7 linked regions of the Cricetulus griseus genome follow. The protein of the gene in region 1 purifies or fractionates together with the protein of each later gene. This does not show direct contact. Links are inferred from orthologs where the notes say so. Each region holds a gene or a part of one and is shown on either strand. Other genes may lie near its edges.

Region 1 (4,249 bases):
TGGCGCACCCCTTTAATCCCAGCACTCAGGAAGGCAGAGGCAGGCAGATCTCTGTGAGTTCAAGACCAGCCTGGTCTACAAGAGCTAGTTCCAGGACAGCCTCCAAAGCCACAGAGAAACCCTGTCTCAAAAAACCAAAAAATAAAATAAAACATCTGGAGCTGGAGTTACAGACAGTTATGGACTGCTATGTGGGTGTTGGAAATTGAACCTGTGTCATCTGGAACAGCAGCCAATGCTCTTAACTGCTAAGCCATCTCTTCAGCCCCTGAAATGTAATTTAAAAAAATAAATTTTAAGGGCAGACCCAGTGTAGTGGAGCATGATTTCAATACCAGCATTGGGAGGCAGAAGCAAGGAGATCTGTGAGTTCAAGGCCAGCTCAGTCTACATAGTGAGTTCGAGGACAGCCAGGGCTACATAGTGAGACCCTGTCTTGAAAAAAAAAATTTTTTTTAAGAGTAAAAATCGGGGCTGGAGAGATGGCTCAGAGGTTAAGAACACTAACTACTCTTCCAGAGGTCCTGAGTTCAATTCCCAGCAACCACATGGTGGCTCACAACCATCTGTAATGAGATCTGGTGCTCTCTTCTGCTGTGCAGGCATACAAGCAGGCAGAATGTTGTAAACACAATAAGTAAGTAAATAAATCTTAAGAAAAGTAAAAATCTGTCGGGCACTGGTGGTGCTCGCCTTTAATCCCAGTACTGGTGGGGGCAGAGGCAGGTGGATCTCAACTCATTCCAGGCCAGCCTGGACTACAGAGCTAGTTACAGAACAGCCAGAGCTGTTGCAGCTGTTGAAACCCTGTCTCAACTCCCACCCCACCCCTAAAAAAAACCGCAAAATTTCACTCTTTTCTGTTTGTTTTGTTTTTCAATACAGGGTTTCTCTGTGTAACAGTCCTGGCACTCGATTTATAGACCTGCCTCTGCCTCCTGAGTGTTGGGATATAAGGCGTTTCTTTTTGGTTTTTCGAGACAGAGTTTCTCTGTGGCTTTGGAGCCTGTCCTGGCACTCGCTCTTGTAGACCAGGCTGGCCTCAAACTCACAGAGATCCGCCTGCTTCTGTCTCCCGAGTGCTGGGATTAAAGGCGTGCGCCACCAACGCCCGGCTCAATTTTGATTTTTTTGAGACAGAATCTCACTGCGGAGCCCTGGCTGGCCTGGAACTGTGTCGATCAGGCCTGCCTAGAACTCGCTGAGAGTGGCCTGACTTTGCTTTCCAAGTGCTGGGACTACCGTGGGCCGACAACCCCTAGGCAACTACCTTTTTTGTCCCCAGGGGATGCTCGGTTGGGTTTCGGCGGGAACTCCCAGAAGGCTGAACAACGTGAGCCTGGCCCTTTAAGAATCACCTCCGGTCGTCAGTGCCGCCGAGTCCCGTTGCTAAGGACGTGACGTCACGCGCGGATGCTGGGGCGGGGCCGTCGTGCGCGGCGCCGTGAGCGGAAGCGGAAGGGGCGGGGCTCCGCGAGCGGACTCTCTATCCCTTGTGGGTCCCTGTTCAGCGCCCGGCCGTGTGGAGCGCCGGGAGCCAATCCGGGCCTCCTAGGCGAAGATGGTGGACTACAGCGTTTGGGATCACATCGAGGTGTCGGACGATGAGGACGAGACGCACCCCAACATCGACACGGCCAGCCTCTTCCGCTGGCGGCACCAGGTGGGGCTGTGCGCGCGCATCCCCTTCCCCCCACTCCCGGGACCCCCCGCTCTAGAGTTCTGACCTCTTACCCTGGCCGCCCTGGTTCGGGCGGGTCGGGGGAAACTCAGTTATTGACATCGGGAGCCTCCTATTCCACAATCTGAACTTTCTGTCTCTCTTATTTTTTAAAAAAAATCGAACCAGGATCTCACTATAGCCTTGCCTGGCCTGGAACTTGCTATGTAGACCAGGCTGGCCACTAACTCACAGAGATCCGCCTGCCTCTGCCTTCCCAGTGCTGGGATTAAAGGTGTATACCGTCATGTGGCCTGGACTGTTAAATTCCATCCCAGGACTTCAGGATCACTGGGCTTCCTAACTCTCCACGGTCATCTCTGGGCTTTCCCCGCTGCTATCTCTTTTATTTTATTTGTACATTTGTTTGTTAGTTTACTTGTAGTGGTGTGTCTTGTGTGCTCGTGGCACAGCTTGTATCTGTAGATTAAAGGACAGTTAACAGAAGTCAGGCCTCTCCTTTCACCACGTTGGAACTGGGCATGGAACTTAGGTCACCCCAATTTGCCACAAGCACCTCCTATACACACTGAATCTTCTTATCAACTCCTAATACTTTCATCAGAGTCTAGACTCTCCAAACGCCGGCCCTTGTGAGTAGGGGTCCCCATCATCCTGTATGGAACCTTTTTTTCTCCTCAGAATTCTTTCTCGGAGTCCAGAACTCAGATTCTGTTAGGCTCTCCCTTGTTCTAGCCATGTGCCCACTGCTGATTGAACACCTCCCTTCTGCCTCTTCTCAGCCCCTGGAGTCTGGGTCCACGATACTTTTGATTTGATTGGGGCATCTACTTCCCAGGATCTTAAGCACAAATTTACATTAAGGCCCAGAGATACCCTGCCCCCAACTCCCAAACTGAATGAGAACTGTGTCTTACACTTAATTTCCCGATCTTAGCTTTCCGCTGGGATTCCACAACCCAGGGTCCCTTTCCCTGGAGTACAGACCAGAATCCCACTGGGGACTTCAGTCCCACCTAGGACTTCTCTCCATGTGGCCTCCAGCTCCACTGCTGCCCTGTGGCTTCCCTTACTCTTGCCTCCTGTAGACGCTTTTCCCCTTATTCCAGGAAACCCTACCCACTTAACTTCCGTCCAGAACCTCTGCCTGCTCCTTTATAGTAAGTAGACCCCCATCCTGTCCCTGGCTCCTGTATGAACTTTGGCCATCATTGAATACTCACCAAAATAGGAGCCGGGCAGTGGTGGTACACGCCTTTAATCCCAGCACTAGGGAGGCACAGGCAGGCCTGTGAGTTCCAGGTCAGCCTTGTTTACAGAGAGAATTCCAGGACAGCCAGGACTACACAGAGAAACCCTGACTTGAAAAACAAACAAACAAAAAACAGAAAGAAAGAAACTCACCAAACCTGAGCTCAGAACCCCAAACCTATTCTATCCTTCCCACCCTTTCCCCTGCAGCCTCCTTGGCTTCTCTGCAGTGTTCAAATCATCCTACTTAACTGGGGGAATCTCCTGGATCTTATCCCAACATCACCTTACTTCCTGAGCATGATGCCACATACCTTTAAACTCAGGTCTTGGGAGGTAGAAGTAGGAGGATGAGAAATTCAGTCAATCCTTGCTACATGTTAAATTCTAGGCCAGCTTGAACTACATGAAACACTGTCTCAAAAACCAAATAGGCTGGTGCTCAGTTGTGTGTCATTGCCTTGCACTGTGTCTCCAGCAGTGCTTAAAAGCTAGCCATGGTGGGACAGGCCTGTAGTCCCAGCACTGTGGAGATGGGAACAGGAAAGTCAGAAGTTCAAAGCCTTCAGCCACATAGTAAGCTTGAGGCTGGCATGGACCACATGGGATCCTGTCAACACCCAAGCAAATAAAATAAAATCCTACACATTTTTTTACATCTGTCCAGAACAGAGTCCCCCAGATTCAGACCTTAGAATCCCGTGTGTTTGAGCCATGGTTTTCCACCCCTCTTCTGCCCGGCATTGACCACGGGACAGTAGTGTACTACCAAGATCTAAGGGTGGTCTGGAGATGTGGTTTAGTGATAGAGCTCTTGTGTGGCATGCAGGAGGTCCTGGGCTCCATCCATAGCACAACAGTAAAGAGACAAGGGTCTAACCTGCTCTCCCAAATCACAGCATCTATATCCACCTACCTGTGTGCTATACCCTGTGCTTAAATTGTATTTTATTCATTTGTGTATACACTCCTGTATGTGTAAATGTACATGTGTAGTCCACGGAGGATAACTTGGTGGAATCTGTTTTCTCCTGCCATGTGGGTTCTGGGGATCAAACTCAGGTTTTCAGGCTTGGTGGCAGACCTTTACCCACCGAGCCCTCTCATTGGACCCTGAGTTTGTTATACTCTCAAGCTTAGGGCAGGTACTTTCTGGTTAGGAATTTTGCACCCCATCTTCCTGAGGGCAGCTCCTGCTCATTTATCTGGAAGCTCCTAGAAGGTCCTCCCTGTCTCCCCCAAATTAGTGTCTGTCCTCCACCCAATTCACACACCCATTCCTTCCAGTTTCCTAGGATGACTGCCTGCCAGGCAAGC
Region 2 (4,284 bases), on another chromosome or scaffold:
AGGTCACAATCACCTGGCCCCAGTTTCCTGAATTAAATTTATTTCTATTTATTCATTTACTTACTTTTTTTTTTTTTTTTTTTGAAACAGAGTATCACTATGTAGCTCTGGCCAGCCTGGAATTCAGAGGCTCTGTTGCCTTCCTAATGCTAGAATTAAAGTCGTGCACCATTACACCTCACTTAAAAATGTTATTGCATGCAAATTTATTGGGAGAAGTTGTCTCTGGGCCAGAGCACGTTTGTGGAGGTCAGAGGACAACTTGTGGGTGTTGGTTCTCTCCTTCACCATCTGGGACCTGAGAGTCACCCACAGCATCGGTCTCGCAGGCAAGCTCATTTACCCATTGAGCCGTCTCACAAGTCCATCCCACACCCTTCTAAAGACGAATGTACTCCCGATCCTGTGTGACTTTGGATAAATCACTTCCTATTTCTGAGTGTCTAGTAGGAGGTGGTGAGTTCTCAAGAGAATCACAAGCCACCTGGAGGTATAGGTCCATGGTACCAAATGCAACTTAGCGTGCAAAGCCTGGCTCCCATACCCAGAACCAACTAAGCAAGGGAACACAAACACACTCACAGACACACACACACACACACACACACACACACACTCACACACACACACACACACACACAAACACACACACACACACATACACACACACACACACACACAAACACACACACACGGCAGGAGGCTTTTAGGAAACTAACCAGCTTGTCGTTGGGCTATCTCACCTGAGACCACACCTGGGCCCTACGACCTCTTTAGGCGTAGGCCAAATCCTGCCTGAGGGAATCGTGACCCCACTAGGCCTAGACTTTGCCCTCTTCACAGGGCTTCAAGTTCAAACCAGACCACCATCCGGCCTGGCGCGGAAGAGACGCTGGACCTGGCCTGAAACCAGCGCCCTCAAGCGATAGGGCACAGACTGGGAGGGAAAAAATGCGTGTTGAGAAATCACCCTGGGGGCGCTGTGGGTCCTGACGCTGGGACATGGGGATCACTTAAGAGACCCCAGGTGGGCTCCCTGCTGTGCGGAGGCTTGCGGAGGGAGAGCCTGAGGACACACGGCCCCGGATCCTTCCAAGCCTCTGTCTGGATCAGGCCCAGGACATCCCTGGTAGGGTGGCAGCCCCTCCCGCTGGAGGGAGAAGGCACATCTGGGTTAAGATTCCAAATGCTGCGAGGACGGGACAACGGTGGCCCGGGCGGGGTCTGCGCGGGGACACACAGGCCGGGAAGAAGGAAGCCGCAGACTCTCCGGCGGGCAGGGCCCCGAGTGGGCCAGGGGCTCGAGGGAAGGCGGGGCCGACTCCCAGCGCGTTGGGGGCGGGGGTCCGCGCCGGGAATGCCGCGCCGTGGGGATGGGCGGGGCTGCCCAGGCCCCGCCCCCGCGCAGGTAGCCAATGGGCGCGGCGGCGCCGGGTGACGGAGGGAGCCGAAGTGCGAGTGCCGCGGCGGCGGCGGCGGCGGACGGCCCAGCCGGAGCGCGAGGGCGCGGGCGCGCGGGGGGTCTCAGTGCAGCGCCGGGGACCCCGGGGCCCGGAGGCAGCGCAGCCCGGGGCCGCCGAGAGCAGCGCGAGCGGGTCGGCGGCGGCGCGATGCCGCTCGCCCAGCTCAAGGAGCCCTGGCCGCTCATGGAGCTGGTGCCGCTGGACCCGGAGGTGAGTGAGAGGGGCGGGGGACAGGCGGCGGCGGCCGGCCGGCCAGCCCGCGGATCCGCACAGGGGCGGGGCGGCCCGCGTCGTCTCTGCAGCCCCGCGAGGACGCGAGTGCCCTCTGGTCTCTAGCCCACTGGCCGGCTCCACCCCCCTGTGCTCCGGGTGTGCGTGTGCAGGGCACGGTTCTGCTGGACGCTCAGTACCTCCTTGCAGTAGCCAGGAGAGGGAACCCCACGGGCTCTCGAGATTTGACACCCTAAGCACCCCTAGGACTCGTCCCGCTTATCATCTTTTGGGAGCTGTGGGAGTTGCCCCAGTCATTGCAGAAGGGAAAGGCTTGGGTCAGATGTCTGAGGTTCTGTTAGAGACAAGGATCATGGGAATCTGGTTTCTCCCCGTATCTTCTCTTCAAGAGCTCTCTTCGTTCCTCCACTTCTGACCTTAGGAAGGTAGCCCTTCTGGACCGTGGCAGTTATGGAATGTGGGATTTTACCACCTCTGGAGTGGGGACCTCCTGGTTTCCTTTGCCCTAATGCTAATGACACACGGGTCTCCTCCTTCAGGTTATGCTGAAGAGAGGGGAGAGCCCTTAGACCTTGTGAAGATTGTCTCTGGGGAAGAGACCCCGCATCCGTCTTCCTCTCTCCCTCCTTCTTCCTTTCCTGGAGAAAAGGCTGGGCCCTTGGGCAGTGTGGCTTCTACCATCTAGTCTCTCCCAGAAGCAGCTCCTATCCTACCAGGGCTTTGTGGTCCAACCCTGAGCATGTAGGAGGCCACTTTTGGTGGTGTCCAGTGACCCTGGGATCAAGGTCAAGTCTTAAACCAGCAAGTTGAAAACTTTGCCCTGCTCTCATACTGGGAAGGAGGCAGGTGAAACTTTGCCTTAACTGGAGCTGTTAGGGTACAGAAGACAGATGGAGACCTCACTTGACCCCAGAACCTAGATGATCTTTCTGCTGGCTTGAACCCTTACCTATGTTTGGGACCTCAGGGCAGTCACCATCGGTCCTGCCTGTCAGGGCCACAGGTAGAGGGATCCACAGTGGGGACCCCAGGTCTTCAGGCACCCAGAGCATGCTGCCCCTTTAAAGGGATGGGCTACACTGGCTATTGGAGGGTGGGCGCGGCTGGATTAGGTAACCAACCTGAAGGCGCAATTTGGAGTAAATTGTTCTGGGATCCCTGCCATGGGGTTTTTACAGGCCCTACACAGCCCTCAGAGGTTCTCTCGCTGACTCACCCTGGTAGGTGAGGAGCACTGCCCTGTGCAGCCCCTGTTGCCTTCCCCCCCACCTCAGGGCTGGGCACAAGGCCTGCGGGAAGGCTCAGAGGTGTATTCCTTTGCCTGGGCACGCCCCTGCCACCTGGGCCTCCAGAGGAAGGTCGAGCTGAGCTGGGTATGGTTAGGGAGGGACTTAGCCTGGCGATTCACAGTGTTACACTAGCAGGGAGGGTAGAGATCTGGTAGCCCTGGCCTCCTCCAGGGCAGCACTTCCTGCTTCCCTTTGGGAAATCCTGAGGCCACAGCCAGCTTCATAGGGGCCAGGTTAAACCGGAAACTTCTTAGTTTGAACACTGTTGCACCTGAATTTGGGGAGAGGAGACTGTCGGATTTCCTGGGATGGGGAGAGGAGTTTACAATGAGTTTTACTTCAGAAATGCTGAGTGGCCCGTAGTCCATGTTCCGGCTCTCTTGGGCTTCTCTTTTCACTGCCACAAATGCACTTCTAAATCTGCTTCCTGGGCCTGACAAGGTGCAAAACCCTGGGTACTGCTGTTGGTGTCCCCTCCCCCCGGGCCATGGAGGTGCCAGTGGACTGGGTGTTATTGTCTGGGTAACAGGAGCCATGGGGCAGTGAGGGTGTGCATTCTTACTTGAGAACAGGGCCTTGCTGTTCTTAGTGCAGATGGCATGTAAGCGATACATGTGCCTGACCCGCAGGTACTGGCGCCATTGTGGGCAGCTTCTAGCCAGGAAGGAAGCAGGTAAGGGGGCTGGCAGGGGCATTTGGCAAAAGAGGTTTGGGATCTGAATTGCCCTGCCTTCCCATTGCTATCACCAAAAAGTGGGCTGCTGGGCCCAGGTGGAATAAACCAGTCCGAAGTGTGGGTGAGGATGCTGCCTGGGTTTTCTTGGTTTGGGCAAAAACAAGAGAGTCTGGTCTCCAGGCCCTATCCTGCCAGGCTTCACTATCTGGTGTCCATGGATGTTATATGACTTTAATTTTCACAACTTCTCAAGATAGAAATTATGACTCCCATTTTCAGAGGGGACAGCTGAATTTAGAAATGCTGGCACCTGCATTAATATGTGGGGCAGGATTGGAACTCAGGGCTCTTGCTGTTTCCTACCAAGCAATGGAGACTTAAAGATGAGCATGGGCTAGGTTTAAACTGGCACAGGTGGCAGGTACTCCAAGAGCAGCTCCGGATGTTGGCACAAACTTCTCAGTCCGCAGGGCCCTTGTCCAGCCTTGGCGGAGGGCTAGCGGTGTCCTGGCACTTGGCCCCCAGGCTCCAGCAGTGTACAGGGCTGCCAATGCTGGGCTCAGACCCCAGTTCCTGGGGCTGCTTCCTGCCTGCGGGGCATGTACTATCTTTCTCCATCTGTTCT
Region 3 (4,024 bases), on another chromosome or scaffold:
ACCCGAGTCCCGAAACTCCGAGGTCACTTCTACAAGCTACCTTACCGCTCGTCAGTCGCGCTGGCTGACGGGCGTCTGTAACGACCATTCAGAGATAAGATCCCGCCTACACACATCAGCGCTGACCAATTCCATCTCTGGAGCCCCACCGAGGGGCGGGGCTTGAAGCCACCGCCCACAGCCGTTCATGTCGCTCCTTTACAGTCGCTTGCTTACTCCAATTCTCATTGACGGGCGTCTGAGTCAACCAATGAGAACGTAGGTCCCGCCTTCTGAGGTGGAACCCGAGCTGTCCAATGTCAGCTCGAGCGCCTACTCCGATCCAAATAGGCCAATCCGCGTTGGGAATTGAGGCGTGTCTGGGGGCGGGACTTAAGGCTACAGCCAACGGCCGCGCACGTCGGCTCCGCGAGGGGGCGTGTCCGCCGTTGAGGCGTGCGACGACGGCGCGGCGCAGGGCGGTAAACAAGATGGCGGCGGCGTGTCGGTCTAGGGAAGGGGAGGCGGCTCACGGTGTCCGCGAGTGAGGCGCGAGCCGCGGAGGGTGGCGCCGGCTTGGAGTTTCCCCTCGCGGGCAGCATCTTTCTGCCTGAAGTTCGATTCCCCCCTCGCCGCTCCGGCCTCCTGCCTGTCGCGCGGCGGCTTGGCGGCGAGGGGGACCCGCCGCCCGGGGTGTTTTTTTACCCATCGGTCTCCGGAAGATTCACTACCCCGACTTCGGTGCCTGCGGCCTGCGGGTGTCCCGGTGCCCTGCGTCCGGGTGGAGTCCGCGTCCCGGGAAGTCACGGAACTAAGGGGCCGCGCGGGGCGTCGGCGCGGGCCGGACATGGACGGCGCGGACCGGCCTCGGCGCTGCCGCCTTGGGCGCCTGAGCGCGGGGCCCGAGTGGCGACCATGACCTAGCGGCCCGCGCGCCGCGACGGCGGACCGTCGCCTCCGTCGGAAGCAGCGTCCCCGGGGACCTGAATTGGGGGGACGCGAGGGTTGGCGGGGTTCGTTGCTTTTCCTTTTTTTTTTTTTTCCCTCATTGAACATCTAGAAGAAAGGGGGAAAAGTCAAAAGTGAAGAATTGGCGCCCACGAAGGGGACGTGGACCCGGTCGAGGGGACCGGGAGTGTTGGGGAGGCTTTTTTTCTTTCTCCGTTTTCCTTCTTGAACATTTGTAAGAAGCGGGGCGGGGCGGGGCGGGCGGGGGGGAGATTCGAACTCGAAAAGAATTGGCGTCCCTGAAGGGGACAAAGACTGGGCCAGGATGGACGTGGGGGATCCCCAGCCGCTGGGCCTTTTTCCAGAGAGTGAGCTGATTTCGGTGGGCATGGACACCTTCATCCACCGCATCGATTCCACCGAGGTGATCTACCAGCCGCGCCGCAAGCGCGCCAAGCTCATCGGCAAGTACCTGATGGGGGACCTGCTCGGGGAGGGCTCGTACGGCAAGGTGAAGGAGGTGCTGGACTCCGAGACCTTGTGTCGCAGGGCGGTCAAGATCCTCAAGAAGAAAAAGCTACGCAGGATCCCCAATGGCGAGGCCAACGTCAAGAAGTAGGTGCCAAGGGCCTGGGGCCGGCCTTGAGCTTTCGGGCGGCCCTTCCTCTTTTCTCTCTACTTCCTGGCCCTATTCTTTCCTCCCCTCTAACCTTCCTCCCCTTCTCATTTCCTTCCTCCCTCTTTTTCCTCTCCCCTCTCTGCCACTATCCCTAAGCGTCACCGCGTAGGGACTGTGTGCTAGGGCAGCCCCCAGGACTTCCCTAGGGGGGAGGTCGTGTGGCCACGTCCAGCCCTCTTTTTTCGGCCGGATCTTGGCGCGGGCCTGGCCTGGCTTCCTTGGCGGGCGTTGCCAGGCGGGTGGCTACTTTGTTTACGGAGTCAGAGGGAACTGGTGGGGCCAAAAATAATGGTGAACACAGGCTGGGAGGCGGGAGGCAGGGGCAGGAGGTAGCTAGCCAGTGTTGGCGCTGGTCCCTGCGGTGTCCTGCGTGCTTGGTGTCGCTGGGCCTTGGGAACTCTATCGCCTGTCCGGCTGGGCGGAACTTAGGAAACCTCACCTACTGTCTTCCAAGAAGGGGCCTTATCTGTGGGGCCAGCACTGGCAGAGACTCTGCCTGGCTGGTGACCTTGCTTGTGGTCCTGTCCCAGGAAAAGCTGGGAGCTCCTTGTTTTTGCCAGCTGGGCGCTGCTCTTGAGTGGTTCTCACAGGGAGGTGGGTAGCTCCCCAGGACCAAGTGTGTGCACCCAGCTGGTGGAGCAGGGCAGGCTGGTGTCTTGGGCTAGCCTCAGACCTGTTTGGCTTCTTGTATAGGACTGGCCCTGGGTTATTCTGGCTCTGTGGGGCCTGGGGGTGTTCCTCCAGGTGTGACCAGCTAGAGGTTAGAGACCTGAGCTGGGGAAAACCTGGTTCCAAATCACTGTTTTCTGAAAGTGGAGGTGTCTTAGGCTGATAACCTTACATCTGGGTGGTGTCTACTGGTCTGCTGAGGCAAGCAGCCCCTCCCAGGTCTTCAGCCCCCTTTGGCTTCAGGGTTATGGCCCCTGGCAGCCCAATGTATCTGACTGTCCAGGTTGCCTGGATTCTGGCTTGAGGTCAGTAGCATTCCATGTGCACATGGCAAGCCTGTGTACTGTTTCTGCTTGTGACTGAGGGCGCCACAGCTCCATCCATGACTGCAAAGCCCTCACTAGCTATCTCAGGTTTCATGCCTTCTGTACCTAACATTGCCCAGTCAGGGTGTGGCTTGCAGAGCCAGGCAGGTTCAGGTGAGAGAAATTGATTCGTAGGCCCTGAAGTGGCCCCACCTGAATTAGTGGGGAGGCATGGGAGTGACAGGTGTCACGTGTGAGCTTAGAGGGACGTTGGACACAGTCTGTTGGAGGCCACCAGCTCCTAGATGGCTAGGGTGCTTGCTGTAAGGTGTTTGGACTGTTCCTCAAGAGCTGGAGTTGGTCTGGGCAAGTAGCACCTATTATCTCAGTGGTAGAGAGACTGAGGCAGGAAGATTGCTTCAGGTTTTAGACCAGCCATAAGGAAAACTGGACTTGACAAGATAGCTCTGTGGGTGAAGGCCCTGGGCCCCACACAGTGAAAGCAGACCCAGCTTCCATGTGTGTGCTATGACGCCTGCATACACACAAGATAAAAACCAGACTGTCTGACACACTGCCCTGTCCTGAGATCTTCGGATGACATGACCCAAGGCCAGGTGTCTGTGATGGAGGACTAGTGTGGCTGGTGTAGTGGGAACCCTGAGGCTGTGGGCATGTGGGCTGCCTCTGACCCACATGCACAGTCACAGCCTGGAAGGGGCAGCTTGGCTGACAGCTGGCCCAGTCAAAAAGGCTTCTTTGTTTTCAGGACTTAATAAACTCCACTCAAGTTGTCTCTCTCATGGTGAAGTGTCCGGAACCTTCCAGACCCAGTCTGTGTGCAAAGCTTTCTCTTTCCAATATGATAACTGTGGATGCCCGCCAAGGCATGGGGCAGTGTGGCGCCTCCCTTTCTGAGAAGGCCGCAGGGACCTGCTGCTCCTCAGTGTGCTGTGGGTGTCTTGCACTGACTTACCTGTGGGGCTTCATGTGAGCCTTGCTGCCCTTTGCTTGTGAATGGACATACTTCTGAAACCTGTCAGCAGGGACAGGTTAAGGAAGCGTGTCGGTGTCCGTGTGTGTGTGTGTGTGTGTGTGTGTGTGTGTGTGTGTGTGTGTGTGTGTGTGTGTGTGTGTGTGTGTGTGTGTGTGTCCGTGTGTCCGTGTGTCCGTGTGTGTGTGTGTGTGTGTGTGTGTGTGTGTGTGTGTGTGTGTGTGTGTGTCTCTCGCCCAAGACATGACTCCCAGTCTAGTGTCTGTATGCTACATTACAGTCTAGGGCATGAACCTGGCAAGAGCTCTCCACTGAAGCTGGTCAACCTGAGAATGCTTTTGTGTGTTTGCTTCTTGTTTGTTTTTTTTCTTGTGTATATAATTTTTTTTTTTTATCTTATGTGCATTGGTGTTTTACCTGCGTGTATGTCTGTGTGAGAGTGTTGGGTCC
Region 4 (3,500 bases), on another chromosome or scaffold:
AAATAAGCTGAGCACTTTAATCCCAGACTTGGGAGGTAGAGGCAAGTGGATCTGTGAGTTTAAAGCCAGACTGGTCTACAGAGTGAGTTCAAAGACATCCAGGGCTCCACAGAGAACCCTGTCTCAAAAAACAAAAACAAAAAGTAAAAAAAAAAAAAAAAATTAATATAGATTCAATTAAAAATGAGTAGATTCAGGCTAATCAACATTTCATCACTTACTAGCTCCTCTTCTAAAGCATCATTGACCTAGAAATAAAGGGGAAGAACATTAACCTTGCCTGGCTTTGCCCCTGGCTCTAACTAGCAGTTACATAAGAGCCCACCTGTGCCTGGGTTGGGAAGGATGAGAAATTTCAATTGACAGCAGGGGAGAACAGTTTCTGGAAGTCCAGTGTATAAGAACTGTGTTTATATAAACATGAGGGTAGGGGAGAGGGAGCTGGCAGAATGAGAGGAGGAAATGGAGGAGCAGAAAGGCTGAGTTGGAGGAAGAATAGAGGAGAGCAGGATGAGAGATATCATAATAGAGGGAGCCATTATAGGTCCAAGGAGAGATCTGGCACTAGGGAGATTTCCAGAGATCTACAAGCATGACACCAACTGACAATCTAGGCAATGGTGGAGAGGCTACCCTAAATGCCCTTCCCCTATAATGAGACTGATGACTACTTTATATGTCATCCTAGAGCCCTCATCCAGTGGCTGATGGAAGCAGAGGCAGACACCCACAGCTATACACTGAACTGAACTCTGGAACCCAGTTGCAGAGAGGGAGAAATGAAGATCAAGGGGGTCAGGACCAGGTGGTGAATCCCACAGAAACAGCTGGCCTGAACAAGGGGGAAACACATAGCCCCCAGTCTGCTGTCTGGGAGGCCATCACGGGACTGATCCAGACCCCTGAAAGTGGATATCAACGAGGAGACCTCGGTACCCTATGGGGCCTCTGGTAGTGGATCAGTATTTTTCCCTGGTGTAAGAAGGGACTTTGAGAGCCCATTCCACGTGAAGGGATGCTCTCTCAGCCTGGACACATGGGGGAAGGCCTAGGCCTGGCCCAGGATGATGTGGAATTTGGGGAGCCCCCGTGGAGGACCCTACCCTCTATGGGGAGTGGAGGGGGGAGGGGGCTGGTGGGGGGTTGGGAGGAGAGGGAGAAGGGACTGACATGTGAAATTATAATTTTATAAAAATGATAAAAAACGATTCCCTTTAATATCTTTGCCTTAGTGCTATAGGTACAAGTTTACCACTTTGATTCAGTATGTCTACTTTTCTACTACCCTAGCAATCCCATTTCCTTTAGTTAAACCTACTTTGAAAAGATTCAGCCTGTCTAATTTTCCTTTAAAGTCTCCTTAGACCCTGTGGGATAAGTGGGAATAACCACTAGTCCATTAAAAAAAATATCATATCTCCTCTTTTCAAAAGTCTACAGAAAAATCTTAAGTTAGAAAGTACTATATGGCAACAATCTGTATAAAATAGAGGGCCTACAAGAGCACTTAGTGGGTAAAGATGCCTGCTGCCAAGACTGGTAACCTGAGTTCAATCCTTAAGACCTAAATGGTAGAAGAAAAAAGCAGATTCCTTCAAGCTGTCCTGTGACCTCCACACACGGCACCCACACACATATGTATGCAAAATACATAAATGTAATTTTTAAAGGAGAAAAGTGAATTCTTTGAGCTATATCAGCAATCTGCCTACTAGGTATACTCACTGGTGCAATGGGGCATGGATATTATGGGAGTAACCATCAATCTTCTGGTTGAACTTCATAAGATGGAACCTATACCTGATACTTAATGAGGCCAAGAACCTCTGAGAGGTAAATCATGGACTCTAGAAAAAAATCTATAATTATTCTGTTAAATGAACAAAGCAATAAAAGGACTCTTAACAACATACTGTTATACCTATAGAGAAGTGTTACCACTGCGCCTCATCAGAGAAATAACTTCTTGTAGTAGATGGTAATTAACACAGATAATCACAACTGGACAACATGCAGAAAGTGAGAGACTTTGAAACACTGAGATATAAATGGGATCATACCCTAGTGTGATCAGGCCTCAGGGATCTATGCAAGAGCCAGAGGTGGTAGATGACTCCTCAATAACAACATTTTCCAGACACATCAGGTCTGATGCATATATGAACTCACAAAGACTGGGACATTATGCACAAGTTCAAACCAGACAAAAATCCCAACAAAGGGAAGGGCAATTGGGCACATAGTTTAACTCTTAACCAAGAACTTATTTGCAATTGATAGCTGCTGGGAAAGGGAAAAATCTGTTTGTTCCCCCCCCACCCCACCCCACCCGCCCCCCAACTAAGAGACAATGGGTATATCAACCACACTCCAGGGAAGGCTTCGTGCTCAGGAATGGCCAACAAAAAATGGACTTCGTGTTTTGTTTATAATTTAATTTTGGGGTTTTCTCATGTTTTTTGTATTTTTTTTTTAAGAGAAAGAATATAAAATTGGGAGGTTGAGTGGATATCTGGGAAAGAATATGACCAAAATATATTATATGTTTTCTTTTAATCTAAGAAAGAACAGAAATGAAGTTGTTTAATTTCAACAGAACTGTGTAAAAGACAATTCTTATGTACATACCTTTTGACATAAACTCAGTGACAATATAAATTGGTTCTTCAGAAACAACCGCATACAGTGGAACAAGTTTATCATGTCTTAATTTTTTCATTATCTGAGCTTCTTGAAGGAAAGCTTCTGGCATCATTGTACCTGGCTTTAGTGTTTTGATTGCTACTTTTGTGGTTCCATTCCATGTTCCTAGGAAAATAATTTATTTTACTCTTTCAATATTTCTGTATCTGAATCTGTATTTCAAAGGATTTTAGACCAAAATTCAATGAACAATAAGTTATCTTACATGATTAAATACACAGTGTAGCTATTTTATCATATTTTGCTATTTTAATTTATGGATCCACAATAACAAAGTGAAATAACAACAAACTTCATGCTTCTTACCCATCCACACTTCACCAAAGCATCCTTGACCTAGTTTAACCTCTAGTCGCAAAGATTCTCGAGGGATTTCCCAAGCGTCTTTTGCTAGACCTTGAGTCTGGGGTTTCACAGTTGGACACACAGTTGTTAACTTGTGGCATAAACCATCAGCATGTTCTAGATAAATGAACAAGGTACAAGGGTACACTGTAAATAAATTACTTTCACAGTTAAGACAATTCGAGAGCGCTTGTGTGAATAAAATATACTAAGTAAATAATTATATACACATATGTACACGCACGCACGCACGCACGCACGCACGCACGCACGCACGCACGCACGCACGCGCGCGCTAGGTAGTTTTTGAGACAGGATCTTACTGGGTAGCCTGACCAGCCTGGGATTCAATATGTAGACCAAGCTGGCTTTGAACTCAGTGATTTATCTTTTTCTAGGATTAAAGGGATATGCCACCATACCTGGCTTATTACTTGTTTGTTTTTTTAAAG
Region 5 (3,958 bases), on another chromosome or scaffold:
GGAGGAGGGGTTGGTTAGTTGGAGGGATTTTTGTTGGTCTCACTATGTAGCCTGGGTGGGCCTGGAACTAGCTATATAGACCAGAACAGCCTTGAACTCATGGGGTGCCACCTGCCTCTCCTTGAGTGCTGGGATGAAAATCATGTTCCTCTATAGCAGGATGGCCGATTTTTTGAGACAAGGTCTCAACTAGTTCAAGTCTCCAAACTCACTATGATGCCAAGGGAGGCTGACCTTTAACCCTTGATCCTGCTGCCTCCACCTTTCAGGTGTGTGATTACAGGTGTGTGTCACACACCCTGAGGTGACAAATAAAGCTAGATCTCAGCATTTAGTGAGTTGCCACCTCTAGACACCTGTTTAATACTAAATGGCAGGCAATGTGAATCCCACTCAGGCCCTGGGGTGCAGGATCCCCAGAGAACTGCCCCTCCCAAACCCACATGGGTGACTAAGCCAGAGGGAAGCCAAGAGCAGGTGGGGACAGGTGGGACTGGGGTGGGGAGAGCAGCAAGAAGGGCAAGGCCATTTCTCCACTTTCTCACGCATTCTACTGTGACCTGTCCCTATGGTGCCACTGGGGTCTGGACACACCTCCATCCTTCTCAGCCAGTCAGTTCCAGGCCAGCCGGGCGTGGCTGGGAGAAGGTGCTGGGCAGGAATTCCAGGCCAGAAGGGGACCCTAGGAGCGTTGCTCATTGGGCGGTGACTTGTCTCTTGGCACAACCCGGCAACCACCGAGCGTGGCTGGTCTGGTAGGTTGGGCGTCAGGCTGGCTCCCTGTGGCGGGGCAGCTTAACAGAGCATGCTCGTAGGCACGGCCCAGGGAGCACCGATAGGATGACTCAGTGGGCTACATAAGCGCACCTGTCCTCTGGGGGCTCGGCTCTCCCCTCACCCAGGAAAAGACAGATCCTTCCCTACGAGAAGATACTTTTTCGGAAAGTCAGGGCCCTTTCTGTTTCAGATGGGGAATCAAAACCCCAAGGCGGCGCACAGAGCTGAGTCTCCCCAACCCGCGCCCCCTGCCTCCTGTGCTTCCCCACCTCGTCCCTACCTCTCATCGCTCTCCGGGGCCGACTCAAGCGTCCGGCCCCGGCTTGGGGCCTCCTCGGCGGCGGGACGCGGGAGGGGAGCGCAGGCGCCGGCGGGGCTCGGGTGTCGGGAGGCGGCTCCCGCGAGCAGCTGTCGGAGGCCTGTTCCGGGGAGAGGAGCCAGCGCGGGGCCGGATCGCCCCAGGCGCCGCCTCCCCGCGCCTGTCCCCGCCCGTCCTCCCGCCCGGCGCCCGCGCCCCACGCCCGCGCCGCCCCTCGTTTCTCTCCTAGCGCGCGGAGCCCGCCCCGCATGTTACCCCAGCCTCCCCTAGGTGATCCGCACGCCCATCCCCCGCCGCCCCGAGGCTACGGTACAGTAGGGGACCGGTTGCAGCCCTCCCAGGACCCCCAAGCGGTGGCCCCGCGAGGAGATGGCGCGTTCCCTCCTCCCCCTTTTCTGGGCTCGGGTCCTGGAGAGAGGGAGAGAAGCACGGAGGAGCAGCCCCAGGGCACGCAGGAAGCAGCGGGTTCCCACAGGCCCAGCTCGGGAGCGAGAGCTAGGCCTGTGGGAACCGGGCTCACCTGTCTAGCCAGCCCCGCTTGGCTCTCACTCCTCCCCACTTTGCTACATTTTGGCACAGGCCCGCTCCCCGGCTCCCAACCTAGATTACTCCCGAGCCTGAGGACGGGCCACACTCTTTTATTCTCTACTTTTTTCTGTCCCCTTCCTCTAGAACCCCTCCCCAACTGCAGCTCCCTTCTCTTCTCTCAGGAGCCCTGAGGTCCACACTCCCAGCTCTGGGTCCCCCTGGGCTCCCTGCTCCATCCAGACTCGCTCTGGAGTCCTCCTCAGGCAAGCCTTCTTCAGTTCCCAGCCAGCTCAGTCCCTGGTGGGAGCCGCAGAATCTGGTTTCTGGCAAGGAGAGACGCAAAATGGAGCCAGGACGCGGTGGGGGTGGAGGAGAAAGATAGAGAGGCGCCCTGGAAATCACAAGCCGCCCAAAAAGACGGGAACGCAAGACCCAGGGACGTAAGAAAACAACGAACAGAGCTGCTAAGCCACGGAAGGGAGAGATGGTGGAGGCGGGGGGGGGGCGGGGCGACCGCCGAGCTTGTGTGGGAGGTGTTCTGTCCCCATTCAGCACCACCTGTCAGCCCTACCTCTCTCCACACCCCCACACCTGCCAAGTCCCCGGACAATGTCAGGTCACAGTAAAGTCTCCAGCAACCTCGCCGGTCTCACCACCCTGTTGCACCTCCCAACTGACTCAAAACTCACACCCAAAAGCATTTCCAAAGAGTGTAAAGAAAAAACAGACAAGAACAGAAAAAGCTACCAGGAAGATAAGCGGCCACTAGGGAGAAGCCAAGGCAGGCTGGGTCTCCAGTTTACAAACCCAGGGACGCTCCAGCTGCTGAAGGACCTGCTAATAGCCCCCATGGTCACTGGAAGAATTGCCTCCAGCCTGTCCACCGAGCCCTTAGGGACCCCCCCCCCCACCCGCCCGCAATTACCTACCCCTCTGCAGACAGCAATAGGAAATCTGGGCCCTGCAGAGACTGGGCGGGGTGTGGAGTCCGCCTGGAGGTGGGGCCAAGGCTTCCCAGTAACCTCACCTGCAACGGCACACAGCCCCTCCTCCCAGGAGAGATGCTCCGGGGAAGCCCCGGACAGGCGGAGCTTCAACTCCTCACACCCCGTTGGGACATTGCACGCCCTAGACTCGCACTGACTAGTGAAGGGTCCATGGGAGATGTGGAGGAAGCCAGAGTCTTGAAGCCTCTGCCCCCTTTTCACTCTCCCAGGGAAAATTCCTAGTCGGTGATGCCCACCTCGCCCCAGACCAGGGCTGGAGAAGTAGGAGGGACACGGGGCTGGGGCCCAGCGGAGTCAAGTGACAACAGAAAAGGAGCTGGAGCCGGCTGGAATGTGCTGCTTGGAGCCCAGATTCCCAGGGGCCAGAGAGGGAAATCCCAGCCATTCAGGGGCCTACAGAGCTGAGCCAAGAACCGAGAGTGTGCCGGTCTGTGGCTCCCCGAGCCCCCTGCTCCTTTCTCTCACCACTCACAACTCCAGAAGCCCCCATTATACCCTAGAACCCTGGAGGGTATAGAACTGGACCGTTTTTTCCCCCTGCAAGCCCAGGAAGAGGGGAAACAGCTGGGGCGGGGGGGGGGATGTGAAGAGAGGCACGCAGGAGAAACAGGCCTGCAGACCACCCGCCACTGCAGGGAAGCAGGGCAGGAGGAGTGAAAGGAGGGTGGACCAGATGGGCCCACCCTCGCTGCCCTCGACACACACTAGCCACAGTCCTTGCCCTGAGATGCAGCTGCCTCTGGGGAAGTAGGTTGGGTCAGCAGCTGGGGAGAGTGGGACGCCTCTGGTGCGTGTGTGTGTGTGTGGGGGGGGGTGACGGGTAGGGAGCTGGAAAAGACCCTGGTCATAGTTCAAATGGGAAACTGAGGCCTGTAGTGTGATGACAAAAAAAGGAAGATAATTCTAGGACATCCAAAACATAAATCTAGGACAGAAAAATTAGACACATTAGCCGTGGATAGTCTGGGAGAGGGACCCAGAAGGGATGGAGAACCAGGGGAGAGAGGCTGGTGGTCACGGAGAGACACAACTGACTCCAGGGAGAGGAGTCAGACAGATGGCACCAAAGTGATAGGTGGAGGCACAGGGAGGAGAAAGGATTGAATGGAGCGGGGAGCGGACACAGAAGGAAAGCAAACGTTTGGGACGGCAACTGGAATGGAGGAAACAGAGAGTGGGGAGGTTGGAATGAAACTAAGATATGGGGAGGGTAGAGACCGAGACATGGAGTTTGAAAGGGAGGAGGAAAGGAGGGAGGAAGAAAGAAAGAAGATGGGGGGCAGACTTAGAAAGGAAAGACAACCACAAGATTGATGGAAGGCCCAGA
Region 6 (3,976 bases), on another chromosome or scaffold:
TCCAAAAGTTCCTCTCAGCCCCATCCATGAACTACTCTCTGGAATGTTTACTTTTCACTCAGCTAGTCACTATTAGGCTGGAGAGATGGCTCAGCAGTAAGAGTACTTGCTGCTCTTGCAGAGGACCTGGGTTTAGTTCTAGACATTCACATGCTGGCTCACAATCTCCAGTTCTGGGGGATCTAGAACCTTCTGGCCTCCATAAGCATCAGGAACACACAGTACACACACACACACACACACACACACACACACACACACACACACAGAGTCAAAACACTCACACACAAAAAAGAAGGTAAAATTTCCCAAGAAAAAAGCCACTATTCTCACTCCCATTTTATAGATGAGGAAACAGGCTCAAGAGATGAAGTGATTTGCCTAATTGCTAGGATCACAGGTATGCCCACCATTCCCAGATTCAATCCATGATCTTTAACCATGAGATAAGAGGCAAATGAGATGAAATGTCAGAAGTATTAAGCCAGCACCTGAGAATGGGGCTGATAAGACATTGAAAGAATAGATAAAATGTAAAACATGAACTACATCCAAAAAGTTAAGGAACCAAAGAACACAGGAATAAAAGAATACCATTGAAGACCAATTCTACAGTCCATGAGGGAAATGAGAAAAGAAAGAGCTGATGAGTTCAGGAAATTGTGACAGAACAAAATAGATGAACTCTGGAAGGTGACGGAATGAGGACCTGAAGGCTGAGTAGATAATGAGTTGCAGACCTTCCAGGTCCATGAATGAAGTGAAACAAAAGATGTTACCTGGGTTACCTCAACTAGTGGAAGACTCCAAGACAGAAAAGAAGGACTAAGATGACACTGATGAACAGAGGTTTTTGGGTACCCAATGGATGGCACAGGGTTTCCATACTTACCCTTTGATGAGTCTGTAGACCACGCAGCAATCCTGATTGAGACCCCGAACCTTGAGGGCCTTGTCCAATGAATCATAGACACTCATGCCATCCCGGACAGTCACCTATGTGTGGATGTGTACACAGGTTGGGGTCTTGAGTACCTAATAAATGCCCTAGCCAATTATCCCATCCCTCTGCAGTAGCCATTCCCTGGCCCCTTGTCACCCTTCTTATCCCAGACTTACAATTGGGACCATCTGGAACACATGCCAGTTTTGTCTCAGTGACTCACCACTGTGCGTTGCTTGTTAGGCAGGTACACTTTGACAGTGCCAACTGCCCGAGATGGCTCAGCCCCACTAGCAGGAGGGCCTCGTGGTGGTTCCATGGAACCTGCTTTTGTCAAGATGGGCTGAGGTAGGACTGAACGGGTGCCATAGGGCTCCTAGGAGAGGGCAGAGGAAAAATTCCGAGGTCTAGTAATAATAGTTTGAAAGCAGAATGGCAGAGGACAAATAAAATTCCATCTCCAAGCTCCCATTGCTCCCTGCAGCCCAAATTTCATGAAATAGCCCTGATAATGCTAACACCTGGTGCTTACCCTTCTCTGCTCAGAATCTCCTATTGCTTATCTCACAGTTGAGTGCCAAGATCTCAAAATCACCTCAGTGAGGAAGCACAGTACACAAAATTCTTCTGGAGACTAATGGGGATGTCAGTATGTACTGTACTGGAGAACAAAGGCTCAAACACATAATGGGAATGAACAGGCTGCCCTGGCTTTTAATGGAGAATGAAGAGATCAGATAGTATAGTAAAAGGAGTTACAGACAGGGAACGGAAAAATGGACGATCGTCGTATCTTTATGTCGTATCTTTCCTCCATTTGGAGGAAATGGAGACTGTGCCATGATGTTAAAAGGCACTGTGAGAGCATCCCAGAGCCCTGAGCTGCAAGGCTGAGGGTAGAATTAAAGGCACTGTCAGATAGCCAATAGAGGTCACCAGACTGTGATGAATTCACAAAGTGGGTCACCAAGCACTATGCTGAAGAGAAATATAATAGGAGTCATTAGGGACTATGAAAGGCAGATGGATAATAGACTGAATTACACATTTAAGCCAAATGCAAATGGCAATAACTGCCCACCAGAAAACACTGCTAAAAGGAAAGGAAAAAGAACACAATGATATCCAGGTGAGGAAAATAGAGGTAAGGTTGGGGAAAAGGTCTCCAAAAATTCTCCCAGATAACTACTGAAGGGTCACAAATACATTACTGATGTAAACGCACTGGGGAATCTTGGAAGGAGGCTGAGGTGAATTAGGGGTAATGGGGCGGTCCTCAAACATTTTCCTAAGAGGGGTAGAATTTTTAGGATAACAAGGAATCATGGGAGAGAGCTGCATCTCCTGGATTTGGTGAGGAAATGTCAGCCACTTGGAGGGGTTTGAGTTCATCTTAGAATCTCGCACCCAAGCCCCAGACCCCAGACCCCATTTGGCCCGGTCCCGCCCTCCCGAAGGGCTTTAGGTTCTGCGCAGGCGCACTGCCACTCGCAGCGGGCGCAACCACAGCAGGCTGTCCGCGGACTCTATCCACTCCCGCGGTAGATGATGGTCTCGCCCCGGGTCAAACCACTCCTTTGGTTCCGGGCGGGGGGTGTTGAGATTCAGACAGAAACATCTTGGAGCTTAGCTTTCGGTCCGACTTCCTGCCCGGGTCCGGCGGCAGCTCCAAAACCCAAACCCTACCGGGCCTGCCCTCACCTGTCACACCGCTACCACCACCACCGCCTCCATCTTGGGCCTGTCTTCTTGTTTCCTCTTAACAGTCCGCCGCCACCGTCCCTCGGCTTCTTGTTATTGGCTCTCCAGGACTCAGCCCTCCGTTCTTATTGGAGGAAGATCACGCCCGTCAACACAGGACCAGCGGAATGTGGGTCGTGTTCCGGATTAGGAGGGGTGGCCCCAAATGGTAGTCTCTAGGGCAAATTCGCCTGTCCTGATTGGCGCTCAGGCACAGTCTGGACGACAACTGCGTGTTAAGGACTTTAACCCTAACACTGCTGCAGAATAAAAAAAGCTTGTCCTTTTTTTGGTGTGAGTGTCGGGAGGACGACTCGATTTTAATTGTGTATTTTCTGGCCATTTGGGGCTGATTTTAGGGGCTTAAGAATAAGGGCGAGAGAAAACCCTTAAATGCAATTTGGAGCCAGTGCTGTAAGCACATTTTAAAGGACGTTCGTATGTCTTAGTTTGACTATCCTTAAAATGGGGTGCAATCGGACTAAATGATGTCCAGTATTTACCAGCTTTAGGAGACTGTAGCCATAATTCTTGATAAGTAGAAGAACCGTGCTGGTGGTCTGGCTGGAGGGAGGGAGGCTTCCTTTAGGAAAATGGTTGAGGAGGAATTTGAAAGACAGGCCACAGGTGGCTAGGTGAAGAGGGGAGTGTGGATCTGGAATGCAACACTGTGGCAGCCATTTGTGGACATATTTTAGGATGAACATAGTTTTTAAATTGAACTTTCCCTGACATCAAAATAAGAATAAGAGGGACACACACACACACACACACACACACACACACACACACACACACACACACACACACACACACACGCACGTGTTCTTTTTCTTGGAACATTTCCTTTAGAAAACATATTTTCTCTGGCCATTTGAAGCTCACCAATAGAATGAACCACAAAGCCCCAAGTTAAATCCCCAGCACCCTTTAAAAAAGATTAGGTTGGTGTCTTGACAGTTTTACAACCACAGAAAATTTTCCTTAGGGGCCTTGAAACTACCTTTTTCGAATATAACAACACCCCATCTCCCTGACTGGTGGGAACTTCCTCTGTGTGTCCAGCTTAAAGTTGTTACTTGTTTGTCAGAAGTTATGAGTCTTGGTTTTCCTTTGGATAAAGTAACAGATGGCCACCCTGACTACTAGATGAATTTAGAAGGAACCCTGTATCCCAAATGGTGCTGTCACGTTTTCTTATTTCAAAACAAGTTAGCGGTTATTTTGAGAACTTGTATGTAATGGGTTGAGTCTGTTGGTTCTATAAAAGGATAAGATTTCTTTCTTTAAATT
Region 7 (2,949 bases), on another chromosome or scaffold:
GCCCACCTGCCTGTTGCTCACCTTGGGACAGAGGACTCGCCATCGGTGGAGGGACTGGCTTCAGGCTCAGTGCCTCGGTGCAGGAGGCAGAGGGCTCTGGGCCTCTGTGGCTGTCTGTGTCAGGGCCATGGTGGTGCTGAGGTTGTGGTGGTGGCGGCGTTTTCCTTGCAGCCTGGCTGGATCATCTCCGTGTGGACTGCTGTGGTACCCAAAGGGAAGTGCTGGCGCTTGCCTATCGCACTCTGTTCTCTCTTTGTAGACAGCAGGCGCTAACACTACGGACAAGGAGCTAGAGGTTCTGTCCTTGCACAATGTCACCTTTGAGGACGCGGGGGAGTATACCTGCCTGGCAGGCAATTCTATCGGGTTTTCCCATCACTCTGCGTGGCTGGTGGTGCTGCCAGGTACTGGCTTCTGCTCACGCTGCACTGGTTCTCTTGGGGTGCTGGCTCAGGACATGCCAAAGCTGCCAGGGACTACAGGGGGCACCCTATGGCTTAGTGCTGCCCTATGAAACCCCAGCCTTGTGCTTGGTATGGGAGCATCAACCTGCCCCATCTTGGTCCTGCAAGGCCCCCCCCCCTTCATCTTCTAGTTGGGTGCCCACAGTCCTGATCTGAGGCTCTGGCATTTCCTGGGTGCCCGGGTGGCGGTATGGATGCTTCTGGCTCTGCTGGGCTTCTGTCCTGGGTCTGGCCATGCTGACTTACAGTTGTTTTTAACTATATTACCAAGGCAAGTGGGGAGCCTTGATCCCTCCATCTCTTGAGTATCTCAGGTACTTTCCCTCCCACACTGGTGCTTGTGTCCAGCCGGTGGGAAACCTGAAAAGGCTGGATGAGGCCCCCAAACTTGTGTCTTTACAGCTGAGGAGGAGCTGATGGAAGTCGATGAAGCTGGCAGCGTGTATGCAGGCATCCTCAGCTACGGGGTGGGATTCTTCCTCTTCATCCTGGTGGTGGCAGCTGTGACGCTCTGTCGCCTTCGAAGTCCCCCAAAGAAGGGCCTGGGCTCACCCACTGTGCACAAGGTCTCTCGCTTCCCGCTTAAGCGACAGGTAACAGAAAGTAGATACCAGGTTTTGAGCTCCCTGTCTGCATTGGGTTTCCTAGAGTCCCGGTAGTACCCAGGGCCTGGGGCCTCCTAGGACTCATTCCTCTGCAGTTGAGTGGGCTGATCCCTCCCTGTCTATGTTCTCCACATGGAGCCTAAATCTTGTGGTGCAAACAGTTTTTAGTAGTCTTCAGTATCCACTTTATAGAAGTCAGAGAAACCAGCCCTTTTTTTGACCCCACGCCCTGCCTCACATAGACTTAATCTTGCTATTCCTGGTAGCTATACCACCTCACCGCTTTTCCATTGCTCAGCCCACATTGTGTGGTACCAACCTGTCCCTGATGACCCAAGCAGGTATCCTTGGAGTCCAACTCCTCTATGAACTCCAACACACCCCTTGTCCGCATTGCCCGGCTGTCCTCCGGAGAAGGTCCTGTTCTGGCTAATGTTTCTGAACTTGAGCTGCCTGCTGACCCCAAGTGGGAGCTATCCAGGACCCGGTTAGTGGTGGTGAGGGACAGTATGTACTTGGTGGGGGTTCTGGGGCTGGGGACTGGAGAGTTACTAGGCAGGGACCTGTTGAAGGTGGGATGAGATGTTCCTGAGGTAGAGTGCGGGGTGAGATTTGAGGTTTACTTTTGGTCTTCATGAGCAAATGCCCATGGAGCTTCCAGGACACAGTGGCACATGACTATGAGTCCTGGGAGTTCTGGGCACACACTTACTGCCTCTGCTTCTGTGGCCAGGCTGACACTCGGTAAGCCCCTTGGAGAAGGCTGCTTTGGCCAGGTTGTCATGGCAGAAGCTATTGGCATTGACAAGGACCGAACTGCCAAGCCTGTTACGGTGGCTGTGAAGATGCTGAAAGGTGAGAAGGGAGAGAAGTAGAAGGGCATTTTATTATTATTATTATTATTATTATTATTATTATTATTATTATTGGTTTTTCGAGACAGGGTTTCTCTGTGGCTTTGGCGGCTGTCCTGGAACTAGCTCTTGTAGACGAGGCTAGTCTCCAACTCACAGAGATCCTCCTGCCTCTGCCTCCCGAGTGCTGGGATTAAAGGCGTGTGCTACCACTGCCTAATGTAGAAGGGCATTTGAGGGCTGTGGGGCCATTAACAGACAAAACCATTCCTGCTATAGATGATGCCACTGACAAGGACCTGTCGGACCTGGTGTCTGAGATGGAGATGATGAAAATGATTGGCAAACACAAGAACATCATCAACCTGCTGGGGGCCTGCACACAGGGTGGTAGGTGCAGCAGGTGGGCAGATTGGTAGAGGGGGGCTCCTGAGTCACACAGCATCTCAGCTGTGTGTATTCCCAGGGCCCCTGTATGTGCTGGTGGAGTATGCAGCCAAGGGCAACCTACGAGAGTTCCTGCGGGCACGACGGCCTCCAGGCATGGACTACTCCTTTGATGCCTGCAGGCTGCCAGAAGAACAGCTTACTTGCAAGGATCTTGTGTCTTGTGCCTACCAGGTGGCCCGGGGCATGGAATACCTGGCTTCCCAGAAGGTATGCAGAGATAGGTCCCAGACCAGGTGGGGTCTGTCTGGGTGGAAGAGTGAATATCAAACTTGCCTGAGCTGGGGAGGTGTCAGCTTAGCCCAGGTTCCTTGTATGTTTCCTCAGTGCATTCACAGAGACTTGGCTGCCAGAAACGTGCTGGTGACTGAGGATAATGTGATGAAGATTGCAGACTTTGGCCTGGCCCGTGACGTGCATAATCTAGACTACTACAAGAAGACCACAAATGTGAGCCCTGGTCTAGGGTAGTTTGGGTGTAATGCTCCACTGGTGGACACATGAGAGCCAATACCTCTCCCTCTGTCCAGGGCCGGCTACCAGTGAAGTGGATGGCACCAGAGGCCCTGTTTGACCGAG

The links.
Region 2: the proteins of Cdc37 (region 1) and Rps6ka1 purify together in Homo sapiens (affinity purification with mass spectrometry; 4 studies listed by BioGRID and IntAct, with this or other methods). This does not show direct contact. The link is inferred for Cricetulus griseus from reciprocal best matches to the Homo sapiens genes CDC37 and RPS6KA1.
Region 3: the proteins of Cdc37 (region 1) and Stk11 purify together in Homo sapiens (affinity purification with mass spectrometry; 8 studies listed by BioGRID and IntAct, with this or other methods). This does not show direct contact. The link is inferred for Cricetulus griseus from reciprocal best matches to the Homo sapiens genes CDC37 and STK11.
Region 4: the proteins of Cdc37 (region 1) and Yes1 purify together in Homo sapiens (affinity purification with mass spectrometry; 3 studies listed by BioGRID and IntAct, counting the BioPlex papers as one, with this or other methods). This does not show direct contact. The link is inferred for Cricetulus griseus from reciprocal best matches to the Homo sapiens genes CDC37 and YES1.
Region 5: the proteins of Cdc37 (region 1) and Ddr1 purify together in Homo sapiens (affinity purification with mass spectrometry; 3 studies listed by BioGRID and IntAct, with this or other methods). This does not show direct contact. The link is inferred for Cricetulus griseus from reciprocal best matches to the Homo sapiens genes CDC37 and DDR1.
Region 6: the proteins of Cdc37 (region 1) and Araf purify together in Homo sapiens (affinity purification with mass spectrometry; 7 studies listed by BioGRID and IntAct, with this or other methods). This does not show direct contact. The link is inferred for Cricetulus griseus from reciprocal best matches to the Homo sapiens genes CDC37 and ARAF.
Region 7: the proteins of Cdc37 (region 1) and Fgfr3 purify together in Homo sapiens (affinity purification with mass spectrometry; 4 studies listed by BioGRID and IntAct, with this or other methods). This does not show direct contact. The link is inferred for Cricetulus griseus from reciprocal best matches to the Homo sapiens genes CDC37 and FGFR3.

Annotation. Positions count from the first base shown.
Region 1 is NC_048597.1:134,007,018-134,011,266, reverse strand, and holds the start of Cdc37 (hsp90 co-chaperone Cdc37), read left to right. Parts: upstream 1-1,449; 5' UTR 1,450-1,561; coding exon 1,562-1,663; intron 1,664-4,249. UniProt on the Homo sapiens protein: Co-chaperone that binds to numerous kinases and promotes their interaction with the Hsp90 complex, resulting in stabilization and promotion of their activity. Inhibits HSP90AA1 ATPase activity.
Region 2 is NC_048595.1:19,392,657-19,396,940, forward strand, and holds the start of Rps6ka1 (ribosomal protein S6 kinase alpha-1), read left to right. Parts: upstream 1-1,484; 5' UTR 1,485-1,610; coding exon 1,611-1,673; intron 1,674-4,284. UniProt on the Homo sapiens protein: Serine/threonine-protein kinase that acts downstream of ERK (MAPK1/ERK2 and MAPK3/ERK1) signaling and mediates mitogenic and stress-induced activation of the transcription factors CREB1, ETV1/ER81 and NR4A1/NUR77, regulates translation through RPS6 and EIF4B phosphorylation, and mediates cellular proliferation, survival, and differentiation by modulating mTOR signaling and repressing pro-apoptotic function of BAD and DAPK1.
Region 3 is NC_048598.1:100,914,974-100,918,997, forward strand, and holds the start of Stk11 (serine/threonine-protein kinase STK11), read left to right. Parts: upstream 1-1,224; 5' UTR 1,225-1,252; coding exon 1,253-1,542; intron 1,543-4,024. UniProt on the Homo sapiens protein: Tumor suppressor serine/threonine-protein kinase that controls the activity of AMP-activated protein kinase (AMPK) family members, thereby playing a role in various processes such as cell metabolism, cell polarity, apoptosis and DNA damage response.
Region 4 is NC_048595.1:461,475,780-461,479,279, reverse strand, and holds part of Yes1 (tyrosine-protein kinase Yes), read right to left. Parts: intron 3,166-3,500; coding exon 3,010-3,165; intron 2,809-3,009; coding exon 2,629-2,808; intron 1-2,628. UniProt on the Homo sapiens protein: Non-receptor protein tyrosine kinase that is involved in the regulation of cell growth and survival, apoptosis, cell-cell adhesion, cytoskeleton remodeling, and differentiation.
Region 5 is NW_023276806.1:229,602,478-229,606,435, forward strand, and holds the start of Ddr1 (epithelial discoidin domain-containing receptor 1), read right to left. Parts: upstream 2,801-3,958; 5' UTR 2,652-2,800; exon of another isoform or gene 2,554-2,651; intron 1,226-2,553; exon of another isoform or gene 1,058-1,225; intron 1-1,057. UniProt on the Homo sapiens protein: Tyrosine kinase that functions as a cell surface receptor for fibrillar collagen and regulates cell attachment to the extracellular matrix, remodeling of the extracellular matrix, cell migration, differentiation, survival and cell proliferation.
Region 6 is NC_048604.1:125,701,614-125,705,589, reverse strand, and holds the start of Araf (serine/threonine-protein kinase A-Raf), read right to left. Parts: upstream 2,801-3,976; 5' UTR 2,645-2,800; intron 2,330-2,644; exon of another isoform or gene 1,476-2,329; intron 1,320-1,475; 5' UTR 1,263-1,319; coding exon 1,167-1,262; exon of another isoform or gene 1,132-1,166; coding exon of another isoform or gene 1,120-1,131; intron 997-1,119; coding exon 893-996; intron 1-892. UniProt on the Homo sapiens protein: Involved in the transduction of mitogenic signals from the cell membrane to the nucleus. May also regulate the TOR signaling cascade. Phosphorylates PFKFB2.
Region 7 is NW_023276807.1:102,790,954-102,793,902, forward strand, and holds part of Fgfr3 (fibroblast growth factor receptor 3), read left to right. Parts: intron 1-259; coding exon of another isoform or gene 260-404; intron 405-866; coding exon 867-1,057; intron 1,058-1,407; coding exon 1,408-1,556; intron 1,557-1,802; coding exon 1,803-1,924; intron 1,925-2,202; coding exon 2,203-2,313; intron 2,314-2,389; coding exon 2,390-2,580; intron 2,581-2,697; coding exon 2,698-2,820; intron 2,821-2,900; coding exon 2,901-2,949.